2 linked regions of the Caenorhabditis elegans genome follow. The protein of the gene in region 1 interacts with the protein of each later gene in a pairwise test. Each region holds a gene or a part of one and is shown on either strand. Other genes may lie near its edges.

Evidence for each region.
Region 2: the proteins of rme-6 (region 1) and rab-5 interact in a two-hybrid assay, tested with the Caenorhabditis elegans proteins (one study listed by BioGRID).

The regions. Positions count from the first base shown.
Region 1 is NC_003284.9:1,095,168-1,103,301, forward strand, and holds the start of rme-6 (Receptor-mediated endocytosis protein 6), read left to right. Parts: upstream 1-1,984; 5' UTR 1,985-1,988; coding exon 1,989-2,090; intron 2,091-2,143; exon of another isoform or gene 2,144-2,145; coding exon 2,146-2,232; intron 2,233-2,276; coding exon 2,277-2,374; intron 2,375-2,731; coding exon 2,732-2,834; intron 2,835-2,877; coding exon 2,878-3,180; intron 3,181-3,475; coding exon 3,476-3,584; intron 3,585-3,636; coding exon 3,637-3,953; intron 3,954-4,001; coding exon 4,002-4,157; intron 4,158-4,486; coding exon 4,487-4,655; intron 4,656-4,703; coding exon 4,704-5,138; intron 5,139-5,450; coding exon 5,451-5,742; intron 5,743-5,788; coding exon 5,789-6,016; intron 6,017-6,304; coding exon 6,305-6,439; intron 6,440-6,490; coding exon 6,491-6,716; intron 6,717-6,763; coding exon 6,764-6,879; intron 6,880-7,333; coding exon 7,334-7,406; intron 7,407-7,481; coding exon 7,482-7,679; intron 7,680-7,880; coding exon 7,881-8,015; 3' UTR 8,016-8,134. Other genes in the region: pigx-1 (Phosphatidylinositol-glycan biosynthesis class X protein), read right to left, coding at 396-568, 615-710, 758-848, 902-968, 1,018-1,145, 1,670-1,846. UniProt on the Caenorhabditis elegans protein: Acts both as a GTPase-activating protein (GAP) and a guanine nucleotide exchange factor (GEF), and participates in endocytosis. Acts by regulating the activation of rab-5 by exchanging bound GDP for free GTP at clathrin coated pits.
Region 2 is NC_003279.8:9,306,613-9,310,857, forward strand, and holds rab-5 (small monomeric GTPase), read left to right. Parts: upstream 1-1,829; 5' UTR 1,830-1,832; coding exon 1,833-1,923; intron 1,924-2,219; coding exon 2,220-2,308; intron 2,309-2,511; coding exon 2,512-2,823; intron 2,824-3,023; coding exon 3,024-3,158; 3' UTR 3,159-3,609; downstream 3,610-4,245. Other genes in the region: nmat-2 (Nicotinamide/nicotinic acid mononucleotide adenylyltransferase 2), read right to left, coding at 1-88, 136-207; uev-3 (Ubiquitin-conjugating enzyme E2 variant 3), read left to right, coding at 3,717-3,777, 4,142-4,245.

The sequences.
Region 1 (8,134 bases):
ATTTGGTAAGCTTCAGAGCATAATAATTGATAATCTGTGCAACTTCTACAAGTTTTACAGATTTTGACGATTCAGATCAAATTAAATTAATATTTTTGGTGGCCCAAATTTGATTCAAATTTTTCAGTAGTGACTGGGCTGGTGCAAACATTTTTTACAAATCTATTGTGTCTTGGAAATGTGCCCAAAAAATTGGTTGACAACACGCTTGCACATATAAAAACTGTGCTCTGCAACCCCTATAAAAATTTTTTAAATTTGTGATTTGGTCACTGCAAACACAAAATTGGTGATTGCGCTCATCAAGCTGGTCAGTGGCAACACAAAATTGGTCAGTGCACACATAACCGAAATTACAGTTGCAAATAATATTTCTTATTGAATAATCCAAAATTTTATTTTATTAAATAATACATAGAAGTGAGCAAAGTAGTAACCAGCAAAAAACACGATTCATATCCGAAATCTGCAAAAAGTTGTTCGTCTCGGAACGTTTCCAATTCCACAGGAGCTCTGCTTGGGCTCTTAACTGACAACCAGTTGGGAGATTCTGATTTTAGCCTGAGATCTGAAAAAAAACACTTACAAGTCTGAAAAATTTTTAGAAAACCCACCACGAGAAGTTTTAAGTGTTGTGCAACCTTTGAACAAATCCCCTTTGCAGTCTACAGCAATTGTTGGAACAGGGAATTTTAGAGACTTTGGGAAAGCTGAAAATTTGTCCGTGGGAATTTTCAGTCAAAATTGAAAAATAAACCTTTACTCGGCGGATGTAAATGTATCTTGATTTTTAGAAGATTCTTCATCTCAAATGTTGATAGGTAAAGCTTTTTCTTGATGGCAAAGAGCTGAACGTATGATTTTTTAATGAAAAAATTTCTAAAAAATGTTCATTGCTTACCATTTGTGAATTGGTTTTCTTTACCGGTAAAACTATAAAATCATAGCCAAACCTTGCACTTTGTAACCTGAAACTTATATAAACTATTAAAAATAATCAAATGTTTATAGTCTTACTCTCTTTCATCAACATAGACACCTTCCGGAATCTCGATTTTGTAGAGAATTCGGCATTGAGGAATTCTGGATTGAGTTTGAATGAATGCAGGTAGTTTCAGTTCTCTGTGAAGTCCATAACCGTTCACCTAAGTGTTAACTAGATTTATTACTGCAGTGGTTCTACTTCGATTATCACGAAAGTTCGAGAAGCACTGTTTCATTGCTTTACTTTGTAGATAGGCCCAAGTAAATTTTATACGGGGACCTTTCGAAAAATTAAAACAAATTAATGTTGAAATTATTGTCAAAAATTACAATAAAGAGGACAACTAAGCTGTACTCTCAAAGGATTTAGTAAAAAGGACTAAAAATAAGTTTGGAAAGTCTAATTCTATAAAATAGAGCACTGCATTAAAAATTTTTTTTTTTTGAAAAAGGAGCATTAATGTATAAAATGTTTGACACTTCTGATTGTTAAAAAAAGGTAAACGAAAAATAAAACCAGTGGAAAAATATTTTTAAAAGTATTTAACGTATATTAAAACACTTCACAACAACTTTGAAAAATATTTCTGATATATTTAATCATGTTTTTGAACATTTTTCCTGGTTTTGGTTAATTTTAAGTTTTATTTAAGACTTTTCTGTAACAATTCCTATTCTAATTTACCTTCATATCTCCATGGTTATCTTTTGCTAGCAAAATGCAACTTTGAACATTTACAATTAGTATTGCAAATAGCAGTGTGAATAAACCATCTTTGGCCACCATTTTCCCGATAATCAAGGTCCCTCCTCCGTTTGCCTTTAGGAGGAGGTGTCGTAAAGTGTGGTGCATTGTGTGCATGGCCACCGTGAACCGGTGTGCAGACCCGCGCACTCATCCTCTCTTTTTCTTTGTCTTTTCTTTTGTGTTACACCGATTTTTTTTGAAAACTGAATTTTAAATAAATTTTCTTGCTTAATTTTTCTTTTTTTTTTTCAGGTAAATGGCCGATATCATCGAGCGGATTCGGTCTCAGGACGAGTATCGGGAGTTTTATGAGTTGGCCACCAAAATTCGCAATCAAAAATTGCTTACGGACGCTGAGGTAGGAATTTTGAAGTTTTTAAAAGTGATTTCAAATACAAATTTCAATTTTTCAGCTCCACTCTCTGAACAGACACCAACAAGAAGTATCGGATAACGAAATTAAGTTGCTCACCGAGGCATGGAGAAGCTCCTACTGGAATGTAAGTGTTCTTGATGATTAGGATTCCCACTAAATATTGTTCAGAACGTTGGACGTCAGCTCAAAAACCAGGCACTCGAGCCAACAATTGCATGCAGGCTTCTCAAAGAGATTAGTGAAACTGAAGCTCTCCCAGCATACAAGTGAGTAAAGAAAAGCTGAGCTGCAACCGACATTTTCCGAGTTTTGCCAATAAATTGAATTTATATGAAGTGTAGTGAATGACAGAAATTATCGGTCGAGTTGCACCATGTCATAAAATATTGGATATGTCGATTTACGAACCTAAATTTTTTAATTAATACAATTTTCGATAACTGAAACTTAAATGAGCAAAATAATTTTCATGCCTAAAACCATGAAAACCAGAATGATCACTTTAACATATTGCCCGTAAACTCACATAAAATATGACTGGAAAATTTAAAAAGACCACTATTCCGAAAATGCCATACGAGCCAACATAACAATACAGGAAAAATGCAAATTAAAAAATTCAGGCACGTCGGGCATCACTTTTCCACTCTTGACCAATTGCTGACAATATTGTACAATGAGCCCCAGTCGGTCGCCGAACTATTGAATAGCATTGACAGAAATGATGTGAGTTTTTCCATTGTTTCAACACATTACCTATAATTTCCAGATTACATCAAACGACTCCACAATTCAAGTACTCTTCCACCTCGTCTACTCGTGCGCTCTGTACCCAGAGGATGAGCTCAAGATTGCACAAGTTGTGTGTAATCTTTTGAAGCTTCAACTATACAGATCTGGCAGTGAGATGAGGACAATTCTGCGGAAGGAAACTTCCATATCAACGAGATTCTACAAGCATTTTGTAGAACTAATACATCCGACAATGGTATATCTAACAAAAGCTTTGAGGAAAGGGGTTTTGGATGTTATTCAGTTGGGCAGCTTTTGGTTGGATATCGATGCAAAACAGGTAAATTTTATGATTCTGCACTGACCAAAACTAGGATGTGGAAAAGCTTATACAGTAACCACAGAATTCGGTTCAAAAATTGCACTGACCAAAATAGTGTTACTAGCTGTTAAAACAATTGTTAGTGTAGTATATGTCATCCACAAAATACTTAAAGTTTCATTTCAAGCTCTGTAGGCTTGAAAAGGCTTGACAATTTGTTTAAACAATTTCAATTTTAAAAACCTGGTTTTGGTTTAGCTGCTGGAAAAAAACTCACTTTCAAGAGAGCTTTTCATACGTCTATATTTTTCAGTCCACGGCTCGGTTCTTACGTGATAACAAGCAGAATGAGGATCGCCTACCCGAATACAGAGCTCTCGTTGTTTCCAAGCTAGTCGATTTTGTTGACACTTTTCTGGAAAGTGAGTTGTTTTCCGCCAAACAGAACAAATATAAAATTTTCAATGCATTTAGATATCTCGAAAGCTCTGCCAATGCTTCCACCAAATTTGAATTGGATCATTCGAGACATATTCTGCTCGCTGTACGAGGTGGTCGATGATGTGTCAGCTATTGAGCTGAGTCATGCTTGCAAGGATATGATTGTTTCAAACCTCATTTGCCCGGCAATCATCAGTCCGCAAAAGTTTGGAGTTGTGGATAATGATGTCAGAGTTGGGACAATTGTAAACCATAACTTGGTTCAAATCGCGATGATTATCCAAATGATTTCATTGAGGGAGTTTGAATCGCCGCCGGAAGAGTACAAAGAGTTTTTGAGCCAGTGTCGGGTGAGTTGTCTTTGGAATTGATACTGCTCTCAACTAGAAGCTTTTCAGAACACACATCTCATATCAGAAATGATGGATGCTTTACTTGTGGAGAAACTTGCTCCCGACGTTGAGATCACGTCGCTTATCGCGAACGGGACTGCTGAATCGGATATGGCTACGAAATCGAGTTTTGTTGGAACTGTGGCGGATGTTAACGTTTTGGTGAGTCATCCCTAATATCAAAATTTTATGAAAGTCTAGACAAACGCTCTTATTGTCAAGACCCAAAAGTGTTAGGCTCGAGGGACGTCAGTTTTAGAAATAGGCTAAAAAACAGTGATAGGAAAATCAGTGATGATGTTGGTTTCAGACAAAAAAGCTACTAGACTTAAGTCAAAAGATATCAGGCTATAGACCCAAATCCAAAATCTGTATGGCTATCTTAGTCAGCTAAAGTGTTGTATACCCTCCAAAATTTCACCAGGTGGTAGGATAAGCCTGGAGGTCTTCGAATATAGAAAAAAAGCGAAATTTCTAAATTTCAATTCCAGATTAAAATTATTCGTAATGCACCATCAACTTCTGACGCGAAGCTCTCAAGAATTTTATCAGTATGCGACAAGCTTCCCGCCACAATCAGCTCCACCACTCAAAAGTCACACTTTGACAACCTAGAGGCTTCACCAAAAATATCAACACTTCGTAATATTCATCGAAAAGGTATACACCCAAATGGGAACTTTTTTCATAACTGACACTTTTTTTCAGTTCAACACTCATTCAAACGAACCGGTGACTCTTTCAACGATATCAATGAGCTCGGAGCAAAACAGGGAGAAGCACTAGCTTTTGGAAAAGAGAACTTTGATTTGTTCTACTTAGAGTATAGCCCCAAAAACTACAAAGACGTTGCGGAAGCTGATCGTCTAAAAAAGAAGGCCGAGGAAAGGAGACAGTTGGCTGATTTGGAGAAGCTTCTGGAGCCAACTCCAGCACCGAAGGAGACTCCAGTGGAAAACAATCTTATTGACTTTTCGTCTGGTTCAGCTGAAACTAACAGCGAACATCTCAGTGACTCAACATCAGTGTCCCCCGAGCCTCTCACATCTACAGAAGAACTTCAGATTGGTGATCAAGGAGTTGGTGGCGAGCAACGAGGAAAACTTGCTAAACTGAAAAGTTTGAGCGATAGGATGAAGAAGGGTAAGAAGATTACTATTTTACTAAGTTGAGCTAATTTTTTTGGGAAGTACCAGGCAGAGCGGATTACCTGCGTAGTTAAAGTTCGAGTAGTGAAAGGACGCAGAAATTGAACTGTTGGAGAATTTCGGCATTTAGAAGAAATTACCATTTTCCGGCAATCTGTGATTGCTGAAATTCCACGCACCTCTGAAATACGTGGTTGAAAAACTGATTCTTAACATTTTAAAATGAACTTTAGTCCTCCCACTTTCAATTAGCTTTCAGTTCCATCCAGCGCGAATTCTCAAACATACATATTAGCTAGAGTTTTAGGAATCACACAATCCAACACCCTATCCGACATCCGTGAGCACCTCCGTCGTTCGGGATCATTTGTAAAACCACCTCCGTCAGGCATCCCCACTAGCAGCAGTGAGCAAAACCTACCAGACGTTGCTACAGGTCCACGTGACGATATTCTGGCTAAGTACGCGTCGATATCATCGATTAAAGAGCAAAAACCAGCGCTCGGGAATCTAATTGATGGCACTGCCTCTGCCTCATCGACTCCGAGAAAAGAGCCACTGGAGCCGTATTATTCGTCTGAAAATCTGGTTGGTTGTCGGTAAGTTTTTTAATTCATCTATATTATCCAGATTATGGTGTTTCAGGGCTTTTCAAGACACCCTTCGAAAAATGATCACAGTTCTCGGGAACATTTCCTACTTGCCAAGGATCGGGTATCGCAACGAGACAAAGCAAAATGAGTGGGACAAGAAAGTGCTGCTTGGGAGGTTTTTGGATGGAGTCCTCGTGGAAACTGAGCACAGGAGAGAGTACGGGCTTGCGGCTCAGTTGAGAGAAGTCAAGCGATGCATCGAACTCTTTGAGCACGCTGGGTAAGAGCGGGAATGAAACTATTCGAAAAACATTATTTCAAGCAGTGAAATACGCGATAGAAACAATCTTCATTTTTATAATGGATGACATTTTTCGAAGGTTCATACAGGCTTAAGCTTAGGCTTAGGCTTAGGATTAGGCTCAGGCTTCGGCTAAGACTGAGCCTTAGGCGAAAGCTTTGGCATAGGCTTAGATTTAGGTCAAGGCTTAAGCTTAGACTCTTTTCATACTAGCCAAATTCCATATCCTCAGTATTGATTTGTAGATGAGACCTTTAAAAATTTCAGCGTTGAAATCCTCATGGACCATTTGAAATTGAATGAAGCTGAGCAGGACAAAATCGTAAATGGAATGCGTGAGGAACGTGCTTCACTAATGAGAAAATCGAATGATATCTCTTCGTTGGAGCAAAGAGTTTTGTTGTAAGCATCCTTCCTTTATCTGTAAATTTTCATCGATTTTCATTATTTTAGAAACCGCCGGCTCACCGAGCAAATCCTCGTTGATTTCCTCATGCGCACTTTTCTGGAAACGGGCTTCAACAACAAGCACACAGTTGGCAAAACTCAGGAAGTGACGGCCGTGCTCAAGTTTTACGACGAATTCAAATACCTTCGAGCTCAGGATGAACGTGCCGAGTTTTTGAAGAATCTACTCACATTTTTGAGGGATCGCTTGATGCAAAACGTGGATTGGAATGTAAGGAAGCTAGTATAAAGAAGCTAGTAATTTATAAATGGTTTCAGTTTGCCACGGATACAATGATGTCGCGAGCCATGACAACCATCGAGCGTTATGTGATTTTTGCGGTTTATGATAACGCATTCTACCCGAATAGAGATGCGGATCATCACAGAGACAAGTGAGGATTTTTTGAGACTTGGGAGCTTTCAACAAGTGTAATAGCTAGAAACTGTGATGAAAAATTTGGCTTACTCTTGAAGCCATGCTCCAGAAATTTTGTGCAAAAATTGTGGCTTTTAAGCTTAAAATTGCTATTTAATATTAAGGGAGGGGGGCAGATAGCTCAGTCGGTAGTGGTGGCCGCTAGCAGTCTGGAGGTCACGAGTTCAATTTTGGCCTCACCCCCTAGGTTCACCCAGCCTCTATTGGGAAGTGGAGCAATCCACGACTGGATTAACGGCCACAGCCCCCGGCTAGGACGTGGCTTAAATTACAGCTCAGAGGGATCACCACCAGGCAGTGTACCTGAATCCCAGATCCGCAGTGCATAGCACTTGAAGAACGGATCGTCCTTTAATCCTTTTTTTAATCGAAAACCAAAACTTGAACAATAATTCATGTTATTTTCTCAGGTTGCTCCGTGGAACCATCGCCAAAGTTTCTGACGTAGTCACGCCGGTCAACGACTTTTTGAAAATTCCAGAAGTTTATTTTTTATTATTTGTTTTTTATTGAATTGAAAAAAATTGACTAACATATTGTACACAATAAAAATTGCAGCACCTCCACGGTGAAGCTCCCTGGCCGTCTGCTCAGGCGGAACTCTCAATGCTGGATATTTATGTGACTGCTCAGGACAAGCTCAACTGTGTGGTCCGATGCTGTGACGTCATCAACAACCTGGTGGCGTTGTCTTCGAAAAACGCGGTCGCATCCGCAGATGACCTCACACCGGTTCTAGTTTTTGTGATTATTAAGGTGAGAGAAGCAGTTGAAATTTCGTTTTTGTTTTGGAAAATATTTTAAATTTAATTTAAAATTTAGGCTTCACCGCTGCAGACTATAGTAATAACTAAAAAGCTGTCAGTTATACATATATCTAGTTAAAACATTTATGTAGTTGAACTTCTTTTTTTTAAATTTCGATATTAGCTTGAAGCTTTCAATTTTCATTTCCAGGCGAATCCACGTGCTCTTCTGTCTAACGTGCAATTTGTTGAAACCTTTGCCGGTGACCGCATCGAGTCGGGACGTGATGCTTACTACTGGGTCAACTTCAAGTCGGCTGTTGAATATATCAAGACAATTCTGTGATTGTATATTTTGAACCAAATTATTTTTTTTTGAATATATTTTATGGGAACACTTTCGTTCCGCAGCAAACTCAGTTTTTATTGTTATGTGTATACTTATTTATTACAGCTAATTGCGAA
Region 2 (4,245 bases), on another chromosome or scaffold:
TTGGTTTATTGTTGTATGAATCAGCAACGGGACTCATTATTCCTTCAACAACTTGTGTATTAATCGTTTCGAGATGTGACCTGGCGACCTGAAAATTCATATATCATACATTTAATGTTTTTTTTATTTGATTACCTCAAGCATACGTAAATGTGCAATTGTTGGTGGATTGAACGACCCGACGGCAAGAAGAGCGACTCGTTTCATCGTTTTATCACAATATTTATTGAAACTGAAAAATATTTTGTTTTCTTCTGAGCTATTTAGAACGAAACGTTTTTGAAAAAATATGAAAAATATCGAGAGTGATCAGAAACGAAAAATTTTTTTTAAAAGTGTGTCAAAAAATGCAAGTCAGGTGGAAAATCAGGATACGTTTAGGAAATTTCTTATTTATTGAACCTTTTATTCACAAAATCGACAAATTTTTATGATTGGGAAATATTAAAATTAAGCATGAAACAAATTTAAAATGAGAATTTTAATGTGAAAACATTCTAATACAGTTTACTCTTAAAGGGACATGGCTCAAACAAAAAAAGTTGTCTCGCAACGACTCAGCTACAGTAGTCTCTTTTGAATTTTCTTGAATATTATTTGAGACCCGAAGAACTCGGGGGATGTCCAATTGGGGGGATTACCAACTCGGGGGATTGGCCCCGCCCACAGAACCGTGGCTTGCAATACGCCCATTTCTGCAACTGCCGCACGGTTTTAAAATTATTTTTTCTTGTTATTTCTCGCTCTATTGAGAAAAATACAGTTTTAAAACCGTGCGGCAGTTGCAGAAATAGGCGTATTGCAAGCCACGGTTCTGTAGGCGGGGCCAATCCCCGAGTTGGTAATCCCCCCAGTTGGACATCCCCCGAGTTCTTCGGGTCTCTATTATTTCACACTTTTTCCGCTTAATTTTGCGCGTTTTTTTTAAATTTAGCCAAAAATTACCGGAAAATAAAAGTTTTTCGAAATGAAAAATAATTTTCATCAAAAATGTAAAATTGGCCTAGCGCGAAAAAATATAAATTCGAAAGCGCGCGCACCGAAAAGCCTCCTCCCGTTTTCATCCATTTTTGTCTAACTGTCTGCGATGTCACACAAACATTGAATACTCAGTCAACTGCGCCCGTCACCACCCCAGAAGGTACGCAGCCAAATTGGCTACCCCCGACGAAGCCCGTGTGTGTCATCGATGTCTGTTGCGCAAATATTTCTTTTTTTTAGTTTTATTGATTTTCATATATCCTGCAATTTAATTCGTTCACTACTTTTGGATGCTTCCAGAAAACTAATTTTAATCTCAAACTTCATCAAAACTTGAGAAAAAAGTTTATCAATTAATCAAATTACACGTGATGAATAATATGCAGAGATAAGCAAACTGAATTGATGAAAATAGTGATCAAAACCCGTATTTCTTTATCGATTTCATCACAATTTCGTTCCTCGTGAGACACCCGTATGAATCAATAATACGCTTGTTTACCACTCTTCAGTCTCTCGCGTGCCTTCAATCTTTTTCGGAAATTGCTCATTTCAAATCAATTTTTCCACTTTTTAAGTACAAGGATTTTTAGAAATTTTTCTAGAAATTTCAGGGATTCAAAATTGTTTTATCAATGAGAATTGAGATATAGAATTTTAGTCGAACATTATTTTTTTTGTTCTTTCTGGAAAGAAAAATGCAACATTATTTCTCTTTGAAACCATTTTGATATTTTTTCAGCTGAATCCTCCCTCATATCGTTTCCTATGTGAAATTATGCTTATTTTTTGCTTGTAATTTATTCGATCGATTTTTAATGTAATAAATTCAACAAATTTGTATTTAGAAAATGGCCGCCCGAAACGCAGGAACCGCCCGGCCTGGAGGTCCAAACAGAACGTGCCAGTTCAAACTCGTTCTTCTCGGAGAAAGTGCTGTAGGTGAGTTGATACTGAAAATGGAAAAAACCGCTAAAGGTTGGAGTAGAAAATAAAAGCAAACAAGAACAGTTTTCCAAAAAATAAAGATTTTTTTATTCTACTCCGTTCTGTCTGTAGCATATTTCGCAGTTGCTGAAAACCGTCACAAAATTTCGAAATTGCGTTGATTTCGAAGTTTAATTCTTCGTCTTTTGATTGTTTATATGTTTAGAATTATGGGTCATCTGATAGTTGCTAGCATATGACGTATATGCTCTCTTATTTCACCTAAACATCACAGAAAACTATCATTTCAGGCAAATCATCTCTCGTATTGCGATTCGTCAAGGGACAATTTCACGAGTATCAGGAGTCGACTATAGGTGCTGCGTTCCTCACTCAAACTGTGAGTTTTTGAATTTTTTGTGAAAATATAACAATTTTCCCTAATTTGAACAAAAATTTTGACTAAAATGAAAAATCTCGAATTTTAATAATATATTGTTTTTTAATAATATAATTGCGGAGATTTTTGCTCGAAAAACACGGATTTTATATTGAAAGACGTAAAAACGTTAATAATTAAGAATTGAATTTTCGAAATTTCAGGTGTGCCTTGACGATGCAACAATTAAATTCGAAATCTGGGATACTGCAGGACAAGAAAGATATCATTCATTGGCACCAATGTACTATCGAGGAGCTCAAGCGGCTATTGTTGTCTACGATATTACCAATCAAGAATCTTTCCAAAAAGCGAAAAATTGGGTAAAAGAACTGCAGCGACAGGCATCTCCAAATATTGTGATGGCATTGGCTGGAAACAAGGCTGATGTTGCCAATAAGCGAACTGTTGAGTATGAAGAAGCTAATGCTTATGCTGAGGACAATGCTCTCTTGTTCATGGAGACATCTGCGAAGGTACATTAGAAAATTTGGATTTTGACAATAAAAACATGTTAACAGAGTACTGAAATAGATCAAAAACTAAAATTGTTATTAAAAATAACAATAAACTTTGTTTTCTGCGAAGATAGTTTTTGAACTAATCTCCATTAAAAAATGAATGAGAAATTTAAGATTTCCAATTTAAAATCAATTCTCTATTTATTTAATTACAGACCTCAATGAACGTGAACGATATTTTCATGGCAATAGCTAAAAAGTTGCCAATCGGACCAGCACAGGGTGAACCAACGGGAACTGTCGATATGAACCAACCACAACAGCAACAAAAGGGTTCATGCTGTAAATAAATTGACGACTTTTTCATGTACCATCAACCCTTCTAGCTCCGCTCCTCTTTTGTTCTATATATCTTTTGAATCCAACGCCTGTGATCGTCGTCATTGTTTTCCCCTCGAAAAAAAAACACTTTTGAACAAGTTTTTTGTGCTCGCTTTCTTTATTTATTTTCACTCTTTTAACCCATATTTTCTCATTTTTTGTATATTTCTGACTAATGTTCAGCCAGTGAATGAGCTTGCACAATTGGCTCTGCCCATTTGCTTTTTATATGCGAAAACTCCCATTTTTTCATTCAAATGTTCCAATTATTTATTGCTTCTCACCATCAACATCCAAGTCCCGAACCCCACCATCCCACTGTTAGTACTTTTCTCGTCAAAGTTTCACCACCTTTTTGTCAATTTTTTTTCAAAATTTTATAGCATCCTTTCAGAATCTATCCGAATAAATTGAAGTTCGAAAATGTATATACTTGGTAACACAAAACCCTTCGTATACGATCGATATTAGATATTGAATTCAATTTTCTGAAAAACAACAAGGTGAGAATTATTTGAAGAATACAAATGTCCGATCAACCTGGAACAAGTAGACCGCCTCTTCGAGCAGAACCAACGCCCACAAAAAGTAAATGCTTTTCAAATCAATTGAATTCAAAAGAAAGTTAAATTTAAAAATTAAATAAATTTACTTTAAAATATACAAAATCATCTGAGATTTTTTAATTTTTTTAAATTTTTACATTCATTTTTTAAATATGTATCTGATTTTTTTTTCGAAAAGCAATGAAAAAGTATGGAAAATTATTTGAAACTACAGTACTCTTTAAAGGCGCGCACCTTTTTATATTTAACAATAATTTGTCGTGTCGAGACCGGGTACCGTGCCTGTAGTGAAAAAACACAAAGAAAATAGTTCTGTAATTTTTGTCATCAATTTTAGCTTTTTAAATCAAACTTTCTAGTAGGAACTTTGAATTTTTAATTTTCAGCTGCAACACGTCGACGTGCCCGTCCAATTGCAATACCATCAGATGAAACTCCACGGAATGAGGTTACATTCCTAAGACCATCAGAAGTTCCACAAAGAAAACCA